Ovis aries: one gene and its partners. The protein of the gene in region 2 purifies or fractionates together with the protein of the main gene of each other region. This does not show direct contact. Links are inferred from orthologs where the notes say so. Each region holds a gene or a part of one and is shown on either strand. Other genes may lie near its edges.

Evidence for each region.
Region 1: the proteins of HSPA12A (region 2) and EPB41L3 purify together in Homo sapiens (affinity purification with mass spectrometry; 4 studies listed by BioGRID and IntAct, with this or other methods). This does not show direct contact. The link is inferred for Ovis aries from reciprocal best matches to the Homo sapiens genes HSPA12A and EPB41L3.
Region 3: the proteins of HSPA12A (region 2) and AKAP12 purify together in Homo sapiens (affinity purification with mass spectrometry; 3 studies listed by BioGRID and IntAct, with this or other methods). This does not show direct contact. The link is inferred for Ovis aries from reciprocal best matches to the Homo sapiens genes HSPA12A and AKAP12.

The regions. Positions count from the first base shown.
Region 1 is NC_056076.1:39,369,242-39,372,886, reverse strand, and holds part of EPB41L3 (band 4.1-like protein 3), read left to right. Parts: intron 1-3,036; coding exon 3,037-3,257; intron 3,258-3,645. UniProt on the Homo sapiens protein: Tumor suppressor that inhibits cell proliferation and promotes apoptosis. Modulates the activity of protein arginine N-methyltransferases, including PRMT3 and PRMT5.
Region 2 is NC_056075.1:36,606,872-36,610,516, forward strand, and holds part of HSPA12A (heat shock 70 kDa protein 12A), read right to left. Parts: intron 1,079-3,645; coding exon 907-1,078; intron 1-906. UniProt on the Homo sapiens protein: Adapter protein for SORL1, but not SORT1. Delays SORL1 internalization and affects SORL1 subcellular localization.
Region 3 is NC_056061.1:76,102,915-76,107,296, reverse strand, and holds the start of AKAP12 (A-kinase anchor protein 12), read right to left. Parts: upstream 2,846-4,382; 5' UTR 2,692-2,845; coding exon 2,530-2,691; intron 1-2,529. UniProt on the Homo sapiens protein: Anchoring protein that mediates the subcellular compartmentation of protein kinase A (PKA) and protein kinase C (PKC).

The DNA of each region.
Region 1 (3,645 bases), on a different chromosome or scaffold from region 2:
GTTATAGGGACCTTGTCCTGGATACATACAAAGTGATGTTTCTAGAAGCATGAGTATATGATTTTAATAATAAGCAAAAGCATAAATAGAATCACAAGTTATTACAGATGCCTGGGATCACCTCCCCCTTGACCTTCTCTGCCTTCAGCTCACTATAAAGTCTCAGTCCTTCCTTCCCTTTCACCAACCCCTGATGTGGCTGTTGGGGTGACATACTCCCCGGATTTCTTGACTTAAAAGGCTATATTGCATTGATGTTGTTAGAAATCCTGATTCTGACTGCAGAAGAAGATACAAATATGAATGAAGTGAGATAAAGAATCCTATAATGCTTTATCTGAATATATCAGTCCATGGAATTCTCCAGGCCAGAATTCTAGAGTGGGTAGCCTTTCCCTTCTCCAGGGGATCATCCCAACCCAGGGATCGAACCCAGGTCTCCTGCATGGCAGGTGGATTCTTTACCAGCTGAGCCACAAAAAGAAAGCCCAAGAATACTAGAGTGGATAGCCTATCCCTTCTCCAGCAGATCTTCCCAACCCAGGAATCAAACCGGGGTCTCCTGCATTGCAAGCGGATTCTTTACCAACTGAGCTATCAGGAAGCCCAACAACATGAAGTCATAATTTATAACTCTTAATTCTTGGCTCTATCCGTTGAAGGGGCAAAGAAGCCATGATATCCAGCAGTACTGAGCACACTAAGTGCCTACATCTTACTTTCCCAGTGTGTCCCCTGCCCCCGCCACCGTGTTCTGAGCTTATGCCTATGTGGATAGAGAGAAAGTTAGAAAGATATATACCAACGAGTTTGCAGTGACAGTGGAATAAGGAGGGTGGGCAGTGAGCAGACTGAAGAAAAGAAGAGAAAGTCTGTGTAAATTGTTATGACTTGCTGCCATAACCAAGAGCTCCTTTTGCAGTTTTCAGATTCTAATGACGTGAATGAAAACAGTACACATAAAATGAAAAAAGACTGTATTTTCCCAATGGAGTACTTTATAAAAGTTAATAGAGGGAGTCAAACCTGTGCTATTAGTGCTCTATTCTTCTTATAAGTTCTGTTAGTGAAGTGGGAAGAATGCTCACCTGGTGTAGATAAACCCAGACCCGCGTCCAGACCTGTTCCCTGTACGGCAGTGGGCGAGTGGCTGCCCGTCTCCAGGTCCCAGGTTTAGGCGCCGTCTGTAAGGTGGCATCATGGCCACCTCTGGCAGGGCTGTCGCAAAGAGTGAATAAGACGCTGGTGAAAGTGGTCTTATTCCAGATGTGACCCTGAGACCTCCGCAGGTATATTGAGGGTCATTCTTCAGGCTCTTGTGAGCGGGCCTAGGAATGTCAGTTACCTTTCCCTACCTTCTAGAAGAGTGTTCCATTTTTAGAATCTCCGAGAACCAAGCTTTTGGGAAACACTGTTTACTAGGACTGTTTGAAGCTGAATTAAGTTCTTTGAAAGTTCGCATTCACAGTGGCACCTTTTCTCTGTATCGTCTCATCTGCTCTTCTTTAAAGCATCTGGGTAAACTGGTGTGTGTTCTTTAAGTCAGTGCTGGAGGAGCTCATGTAGAATCAGAGCTTTTTCCCCTGAATGTCCTTCACGTGGTTCTGTGATGTGAACCCAGGGGGACACATTTGCTGTGAATGCTGTTTTTCCTTGTGACCCTCTGTGCAATGGTGATTGCTGAGAAGACAGAAGCCAAGCGTGAAACCAATGTACTAATTCCGTGCTGTGTCTCTCTCTCTCCCCCTGCCCAAAAGTGACGCTAGTATGCGTTGTCTCACTCTCTGGGGTCCTGCCGGTTCTCGTATGTTTTCTGTGCTGCTGCGTGGGGGACCATGGCTGCATGTTGCAATAGCTACTGCTTTTTGCAAGGTTGCATCTTCCATGAGAAAAGCCTCACAAGCCTTTTTAGGATACTGTGTCTCATACAAGCTTTTTTGTCACTAGATGGAGATGCAAAATATCTTAGTGAAGGTATTTTAGTGAAATGGTTTACTAGTCAAAGGATTTCAGAGTTTTTTTCTTAACGTTTATGTCTTAAACTCCCAAAAATATGAAACCAGATTAAATTTTGCCTGTGATTTGAAAAGCAGCCTTTCTAAATTTTAGTAAATGTTATGGTACCTAAAACCCTTAAAGAATGAGTAACAAATTTCAAAAATTTAACTAAATCAGGTATCTCTTTCACTAAGACATTTTAGCTGGGAGGAAAGGCTGGATCTTACATCTCTTACGTTTGCATGCTTTGCAGTTGCACGAGTTTCGTTAGCAGTGTTTGCCTTCCTTTCCCCAAATACCAAAGATGAATGAATGTATGCCCATTATGGCAGTCTTTTTAAAACTCAGTGAAAATTAAAAAACATTTCTGCACTTCAGTTGAGCAGAGTTGCCATCCGAATTGTATCATCTCTGCTGAGATGGCTACTTTTCAGTATAACTTAGGTAGCTTTTATATTATAGCAGAGAGAGACTTTTCAGCCACTAATAACAATAGTAGTAGTAGCAATGGTAATAACACTACAAAAAAAGTTCAGTGCTCCTCAATGACTGGCACTTCCAAAGATGTGTTTAAAGTCAAGTGTAGTAGGGCAGTTGTCTGTCTGCTGTTAGTTGTGGAACTTGCCTCTGAGTGCCGCTGCCCAGCTGGTTTACTCTGTGGGTAAGAGGCTCAGCAGTCACTCAGTGCTCCCCTCTTCCCACTCACATCCACCCTCACACACGTCCTTACCAGAGAGCCTGTGAGTGGATGCACACTGTGCTGGTGGCTTCAAGAGATGAGCATTGAAATCACGCTTAGACGCAGTTACAGGTGACAGGAGTATGACACTGCGGTGTTGCTTAGATGAGAGTACCTGTAAGGCTGATGTGTCTTTTGAAGAGAAACCTGGTGCTTTATGGGGGTTTTTTTGTGGGGTTTTTTTTGTGGTTTTTTTTTTTTGCTTTTTTTTTTCCCTGTAATAGGACAATGGGTGGCGTCCATCCTTCTTCTGACTTAACTATCTCAGACTTTATTTCTCCAATTGTATCTGCTTTTAGCGTCAGTGAATGAAAACCATGAAATATACATGAAGGATTCTGTGTCCGCTGCAGAGGTTGGTACTGGCCAGTACATCACCACAAAGGGCATGTCTCAGACCAACTTGATCACCACTGTGACTCCGGAGAAAAAGGCCGAGGAGGAGCGGGACGAGGAGGAGGACAGACGGAAAAAGGCCGAGGAAGCCACGCCGGTAGCTGCCGTCCGGCACGAGGGAAAGGTACATCTCCCCTCTGCCTCCCAGGGCTCCTGCAGATTCTAAAGAACTCCTGAATGGTGCTGAGAATGGGAAGCAGGAATGCGTGCATAAGACTGAGGCTGACTCATAGCTCAGCGTTAGTCACATTCATACTATCAGTCTTTATTATTTCTTCTGTCCACAGTTTTCCTCTGAAAGATCCCTTTTTTAACTTTTTGAAACTTCTTGTTGAACGACTTAGGTGCTACGTAAGACTTTCAACAGCTGTCCTGTCTGTAGATCTTAAAAATACTTTAGGTGGCATATTAACCCATTTATTTGTGTTTGGGCTTACAATTCAGAATTGCCGCTAAAGCTGTTTTCTTTGTTTCTGGCCCCATTCTCCTACCCAAGGGCTGTGTATTTTTCT
Region 2 (3,645 bases):
CCTTCCAGGGCAGGATGGAGGTGGGCTGGAGTGATGGGGGGGGGGGTGTGCCCTTGAAGTCCTCACTTAGGCAGAGAGCTCAGAGCTGGGGTGCACAGTGCCACCCCCCACAGCTCCTTAGCATCCGTGTTCACCCGCGTGGCTCTGACTGACCCAGGGTATCTTCAGACTCCATGGCTCTGGACAGATCTAAAGAGCCCTACATTCCAGGGAAAACAGTTCTGAGGAGCAAGCTTGTGAGCAACTTGCATATAGGTCAATATCAGGTTTTTCCATAAACTGTCACAGAATTTTTGGCCAACCCAATATTGGAGAGAAAAAAGGCCCTTAAAATGCCCAACCTGGGTTTCCCTGGGCAGTGTTCCTTCCCACAGTTAAATGAGCGTCAACCCCTCAGGGAAAGTCTGCCCTTTTCACCTCTAGCCTCAACTCTCACCAGGTTTATAGTTAAGATTCACAATGAGCGCATCACGTACAAAGCAGCCCCAATGAATGAGTCAGCGATAAACCATCAGTCTTAATGGAGGCATTAATAACAGGCCAGTGGAATTAGATTAAGAATCAGTTAATAGACAGGAAAGACTTAAAAGCGGAGTAAAATGCATGGCCAAGAGCCACTCTTGGACTGCTTCACGTGCTTGGGAGAGAAGGGTCCTCCCCTTAGGCACTAGGGTGGGTGATGAACGAGGGTAACCACTGATGAGTTTACAGTGTCCTTGGAGGGGCCAGGTTGGGGGAGGGGGGGAACTGAGCACAGAGGTACTTAACTCCAGCCTCCTCCAGAAGCATCTTGAGGTCTCCAGACCACACTGAGTGCCTTCGCAAACTCCGAGGCAGAGACACATGCAGGGGGCCAGAGTAGGGCGGAGGGGCGGGTGGCGGGGAGGGGAGAGAGAGAGCAGGTACCCTGTGCAAACCCAGCTCCTACTGTGTCACTGGAGCTGTACCCGTTGACCGCGGCCTTGCTGCTCAGATCAGTCATCTGGTGCAGCCGCAGCTTCCGGCAGTAGATGGAGGCTGCCTCGGGCTCCAGGGCAATGATGAGCTGCTCCGAGTTCTCCGGGGAGGCCAGGCCTGCCTGGAAGACAGAAGGCAAGGCTGGGACCCCTCCGAGGACACCCCCACCCTGGGAGTGAGCACCCCCAAGGAAGGGGTGCTTGTTGGGGAAATTCCCTCCACAGGCCCCTGCAGAGCCTAAAATCGGGGGTGACTGGGTGCTGAGCCCTAAGCCAGGTACCCAAACATCACAGGGTGGGCAAAGGAGAGAAAGAAAGTGAAAGTGAAGTCGCTCAGTCGTGTCCAACTCTTTGCGACCCCATGGACTGCAGCCTGCCAGGCTCCCCTCCAGGCAAGAGTACTGGAGTGGGGTGCCAATATACAAGTATTCTTGGTGAGTGCCAGGCTCTGTGAGCCTCAAGGCTGCCTGCATGTTTGGCCCACTTGGCCCACAGCTGAGAAGCCCAAAGGGGCAAAGGACCCAAAACTTAGAAAACCAACCCAGGATGGAAGGCCAATGATGGTCTGTTTTTGGTTCCAGAACCAAATGGTAGGACTGAGGCCTAGCAAACCCCAATGGTCGGTGGCCTAGGAAACAGAAAGGCCATTGTCGGGCCTCAGCTGTGCAAGAATCTGAATCTGCTATGTAGGCATCTGATCTGTTATCTCCAGAACACCGAGGGGGCTCCAGGAGAAAGCCCCTCACCCCCGCCCTGGAATCCACAGAGTCCCCAGGTCCTAGATGCAGGGGAAAGCCCACTGGCAGTTATCCTGTGCAAAGCCCCTCTCCTGTTCACAGCAGACGTGCGTCTGCCCTGTGACGCCTGGCTTGCTCCAGCCACAACCCCTTCAGGCCTCTCGAAGGGCAGCCAGGGGGCTTCAGGAACACCCCTCTGAGGGTGCGCAGAGACACAGACTGGCTTGGCCTTGACCTGGAGCATGAGGTGTGGCTTGCTTGTTGAAGCTGCCCATGGGCATGGATGTCCTTGGTTGCCAACACAACGAGAAACTAAAACTAGCTCGTTCTGGTACCACTGTGTTTATTGTCTTTGCTGCCATTTCCGAGGGAACCCGGGATGCTCCCCGGGTGCAACATCCACTTTGGAGAAGGCCCCCAGCTCTCCCCAGGCCCCAGGAGAAGGCAGCCAGGGGCCTCCCCAGGCTCATCTTGTCAGCCAGGGACAAAGGTCTGCCTAACATCACACTTGTAAATGCCCACGGGGAAAAGCCAGCCTAGGGTCATGAGCAGAAGGGGCTTTGGAGGGTCAATTATTGGGCAAGGAAGGGAGGGGAGTTGAGGTTAGAAACTGCAGACACCTTTCGTCCAATTCCTTCACTTTATGCAGAAAGAAACTAAGGCTTAGAGAGGTAGGGTGACCAACTGTCCTGGGTTTCCTGGGACACTGATCTCTCAGTGCCCAAACTGGGACAGTCTTAGGCTCCAGGGTAGCCAACAGAAGTGAGAGCCAGCCCAGGCCCCACAGACTAGCTCTTGAACTGGTTCTGAGCTCTTCTGCTCTTAGTAACTCCAGTTACTGAAGTGGGGCCCAGTCCTCCATGCTTTGACAGAACTCCTGGGTGCCCCTAACACTCCCCTCCTGAACTGGTTTGAAGGTGCGATCTCCACTCATTTAGTCTGGGCCAGGACTGCCTTATACCTGCCGCCATCTGTTCTCCCAAATAACTGTATTATCCCAAATGAACCAATCAACTAGGTCTCAGATACCATCAGCCGGCAGGTGACAAAGTCTCTACTTTGCCAAAACTAAATGTCTGCCAAGGGCAGAACCCTTCTGGAAGACTGTCCTTTACAAAACCAGATGGAACCATACATGCCTTCACTCTCCACCAGGAACCCGCCTCCTTCCTGCCTCAGCTGAGCCCAACCACACAAGCAGGATCTGTTGCCCATCGGCCTGGCCCCCAGGTTGAAGAGGCCAGGTCTGCCCTGAGCTTACCCAGGTCAGTGGGTGACTGGCGCAGGTGTGTGCCAAGATTCCGGTCCCAGGGATTAAAGTGCCCCCTCCCCCAGCCTCACTTTCTCACAGGATCTCATCAGACAGCCTCAGTAAAAAGGCAGCCAAGGGTTAAAGTGCCTGATGAAAGACGCCACGGGCTACCCACGGCAAGTGCCGCCAGGAACAGGGACACCTCTGAACCTTTCTCCCCAGGATCCCAGAAGGAAAACTCCAGAGTGACAGTAAGAGGAGCCCTGTCTGCAGCGCAGTGCTCGTGGACTGGCTCTTCCGTCCTCATAAAGCCGAGACCCTTCTAGAGCAGGAGCTCACAGGCCTGGCTCGCACCACGTGGACTGAGGAAGACGGACAGGTGAACAGCAAAGCAACGGTGGGCCTGGGAGACACAAGCCTCTCCTGCAAAGCTCAGGATGGGAGGAGGCTGGGGAGGGCAGAGCTGAGCGCGCCCGGGACTCGGTGTGAAGGAGGAAAGGCACATTCCTGTCTCCGGGTCCCGTCAGCCAGCCAGGCGGTGCCCACGTGGCTGGTGAGAATAGCTGGGTCCAGGGCCTGTCTGGGGCAATGGGGACTGCAGGGGACAAAGGAGCAGAGAAGACAGACACCTTCATTCCTCTCCAAGCCTTCCTGGAAATTCTGAACAGGCTAACCTACATGTGAAATGCCCATGGAAAGT
Region 3 (4,382 bases), on a different chromosome or scaffold from region 2:
TGACGTTGACTGAGTCACTACCTGATAAGTGAGACAGACCATGATGATAAAGTCAAAGAAAAAGTAGACGGTTGTTTATCTGTTATACCCCAATACAAAATTACAAGTTTAAAAAAGAAAGCAGATGGACCAAGGTATTCCCCAACTTGACCCTCTCCAATCAAAATCAAGGTGTCAGAATCATCCTACATGCCAGCCACACACTCCATACTCGGAGCAACACCTGTTATAAGCAAACCCAGGTTCGATCCCTGCCTTTGTGGAGCATTCACAGCAGCCAGAACACTTACTCATCAAGTCACTAAACCCACAAACATGGAAACTGCTGGCAAGAAAGGTCCATGGTGCTATGGGAACCCAGAATGGCAGATGAAATTACTCAGAGGTCCGAAATTAGGGTTGAACAGGGTGAAGAAAGGAGACAAAAGCTACATGCTGAATCATTCTTAATTAGAGAGTCCTTTTGAAAAGACTTAGGTCTTTGGAGTAATAAATTTTGCTAGTCGCAATGAAAAACTACACGTTTTCTAACATGTGCATGTAAGCGTATTGATTTGTCTGCAAATTGATAACTGGGCAGTCTGCCAGAAAGTTCAATGATATCAGGATGTCATTTAAGTACTTTTTTAAAGGAGGTCATCTCACTGTTTCAAGATGGTTGTGACTAGGAAAGAGGAAGAAGGATGATGTTATGGAAAAGATAAAGAGAACAGAAAGGAAGCAACATTTTAAACGAATACACAGAAGTTTATTGGGAAGAGAATAAGTACCATATTTTAGTGTGAACTGTTACTAAGACCTGAAGGGCTGGTAAAAGCCAAAGAAAAAAATGCAACTGCAAGCTTTTAGCAATTATGCCTTAAAATTACTTTCATTAATGGACTCTAAATACTGGTTATGCAGACATTTTGACAGAAGTTGACATCAAAAAGTGAGATACAGTAAATATTAAAGCATAACTGAGGCACTTCCCTGGTGGTCCAGTGAAGTCTGGACACTGAGCTCCCAATGCCGGAGGAGGGAGGGGGTACGCCCTGGATTTGATCCCTGGTTAGGGAACTAGATCCCACATGCTACAGTTAAGACATGGTGCAGCTAAATATATGTGTGTGTGTGTATATATACACACACACACATAACTGAGACCTCAAAAGGATAGATGTCTTAAGCATATCTTAGAGAATCTAGGCATTCCAGGCACAGTAGCTACTTGTAAGCATCTACAGCTCTAGGGACCGTGGGTTTTACAAGGAGGTATGTTAATGACTAGAGGTAATCTAGTTAAAAGCAGTCTCTCCATCCAAGCTAGACTACCACAGCTAAAAGGTCAAGGCGATGAGGTCATAATTCTGTGATTTTTACCTCGATTTCAGTGTTTTTTTTTCCCCTTACACTGTAAGTATCTATATTTCCTGAGATAACTCTTAAAGGTCCTCAAGTACTCTGTATATTCTCAAACTTGACACGTTTCTTTTTTCTTTTTAAGTATGGTTACCCACATCTTCCCATAAAAGTATCACAAAACGGGTGGAGTGAAGCCTGGCTAATGAACATAAATTCTGGAAAACAGATCTAAAAAACAATGATCTGGACAAGTCACAATCTTGGCGGCTGCAGTTGCCAAGAATAAATATTTCGAAGACCTAAGACTATAAAATGCAAAATGTCTAGGACGTTCAGCACTGCCTCCATAGACCGGAATAGACAGGGACTACTCCCTTACGCCTTCGACTGCATCCTTTGAGAACTTGTAACTACTCCTCCAGTATTTGTTTATCCCACTGAGTCCAGCGAACTGAGCGAAAAGGAGGACGCCGCCGTGTTTGCGAACCCTGTCATTCCTTTTGGAAATGCCGCGTCGGCTCAGGTTTTCTTTGGCTGCGAGTGAGCTACACCCCAGGCTTTCTCTGCATCGGGAAGGCGGTGTTGTCTGCTTCAGCCGCCTGACGCAGGAGGACTGGGTACCAAACCCGGTCGCTCCAGACACAGCCGGCAGCAAGGACAGTGCGCTGCGGGGAACCCATTGGTGGCGGAGTCACCAGGCTGCAACACGCGTCACGGCCCAACAGCTGACTTTCCGCATAGGGAGACGGGGTGGGGGGCTCGACACGTTTGGCCGGGGGTCAGGGCTCCGCAGACACCCCGCACCCCAACCCCCACCACAGGCAGCTCGCCGGTGTCGGGTTGGGTCGCTCCACCGGAAGAGCGTGGAGAAAGGCTCAGCCGCGGGCAGCGGGCGAATTTTATTACTGCGGATGGCGCAGTCGCCTCCCCTGGAGACCCACGACAAAGATGCGAGCCCCCCTCGCCGCGCTCGCGGATCCTTTGGTCCCGCCCCGGCGCTAAAACCCTGAAAAGCCTACAAAGAGGGATTCAGGCTCACGAGTTTGCAGATGGGCTGGACCGGCCGTTAAGTTACTGCAGGCGGAGATCGAGGGGACCTCCCCCCTCCCCTTACCCCCAAAGACCCCCGCCGTCCCGCCCCACCCTCCCCTCCTCCTCCGGGCAGGTGGCCCGGAGCGCCTCTACCTTGGTGGCGGGGTCCGCAGGGGCGATGGCCGGGTCTCCAGGCGTGCCGGGCGCCGCCTCCGCCGCAGAGCCGCCGCCGCTGGGCTCGGGCTCGGCGGGCGTCGCGCTCCCCGCCTCCGGCTGCTCCGGGCTCCGCTGCTCGGTGGAGCTCCCGGCGCCCATGGCTCGTCTGCGGTTCTCCGGTGGCTAGCCGCTTGGAGAACGCCTTCCCCAAATCGCAGGGACGCGGAGAAGAGCCAGAAGCCGTGCACTCGCAAAGTCCCAAGAGCGCCTCAGTCTCCCGCCGTGCTCCTCCAAACCCGCCCAGACTGCGAATGAAGGAGACGCGCTCGCGGCAAACTCCTTAAAAAAAAAAAAAAAAAAAAGCCACCTCTTTGCCTCCTCCTCCTCCCCCTTGTTTTTCCCTCGCTTCATCACATGAGCGCAGCCCCAGACACGCCTTGCAGTAGCATCTCCCCCCAGGCTGCTAGGACCCGACGAGCAGCCGGAGCCTTGGCGAGCCGCCCACCTCGACCCCCAGGGCGCCTCCCATTCCTATCAGGACTGCAGCTAGGGGTCCACCCAGAGGTGCCTCCCCGAAAGTGAGGGGACAACGAGAAAAGGGAGCCCCCCCCCAGGGGAGATCGGAGTCTCTGGGGGTGGGGGTGGTTATTAAATGATGGATGACCTGAGGCAAGGCTTCTGCTGCAGCCCACTCTCAACTCGCCCAGATGCGAACCTAGATCCCCGTTTTCCTTCCTTCGGACTGCTTGCCACTGAACATGCGTTCCTGCCTCCTCGCCGGGAGCCGGAGAAAGGCAAGCGCTCCTGGGCTCCGCCGGAGTCTGACCATATTAGGGCACCTCACGTGGCAGGAGCAGGGAACCAAGAGGTTAATGCAATCAGACCACGGATGAGGTGGGCCAGGCGGCCCCACGCTCTCCTATCACCCAGAACAAGTGATATCAGGCGATGCCATCGGCAACACCGCTCCCCTCCTTCCCCGGGGAAACTGGGGAAGTGAGACTGTTACTGGAAATGTGCCTGTCCTTAAGAGCATGATGCTGGAGTCCAGGCCACCTCTCGCTTGCGCACGGCTGAAACAGGATCACACGGATCTGTTCATTTGCCGTCAGTATTTCTCCATAGATAAAAGCTTTCCATAATAACAGCATCAGGGCCTTGCATTCTGTCCCTTCCTACTCCTGAAAAGAAGGCTTGTTGTGTGAATATAGCAGGCAGTCGGTATATATTTGACCTAAATGAAAATGTTAACGGAATCACCCAGTTGGTAAGCATGAAGACAGTGGGGCTGAAAAAAAAAATTAGCCCAGTTTTAACCGGCCACTAAGCCCTTCGGTTTTCACAGAATCTCATTACAAATTAAGAAACTTGTGGAATATTGCCCCTAATACTAGATACATATCCAGATTTGGGACTCAGTGGCAGGAGAATTGATGTAAACAGCAGTTGGGCACCAGAATATCTGTGCCTAATTAATTACATGTAGTAAAATGGCCGGGGAACCACAGGTTAGTTATCCAACATACAATTCTTCTGAATTTATCAGTTTATCTGAAAGGAGTACATAGCGGCCACTTTCTCTGAAATCTGACATTTAAGAAGCAGTCTATTTCCAAAATGGTTGGTTTTCCGAATTTTTAAGCATTTCACTCATTTTGACTTAAATTTTGGATTATTGAGGAAACATTTGAGTACTTACTCTGTACCAGACATTGTGAGTGTACTTTGTATGTACAATCACATTTCATCCTCAGAGCAGTACTACAGTGTAGATCCTACTGTGCTCAGGTTACCAGTATAGTGAGAGAAAATAGGCCCAGAAAGGTTAAATCAGGCCCTCAAAGATTCAC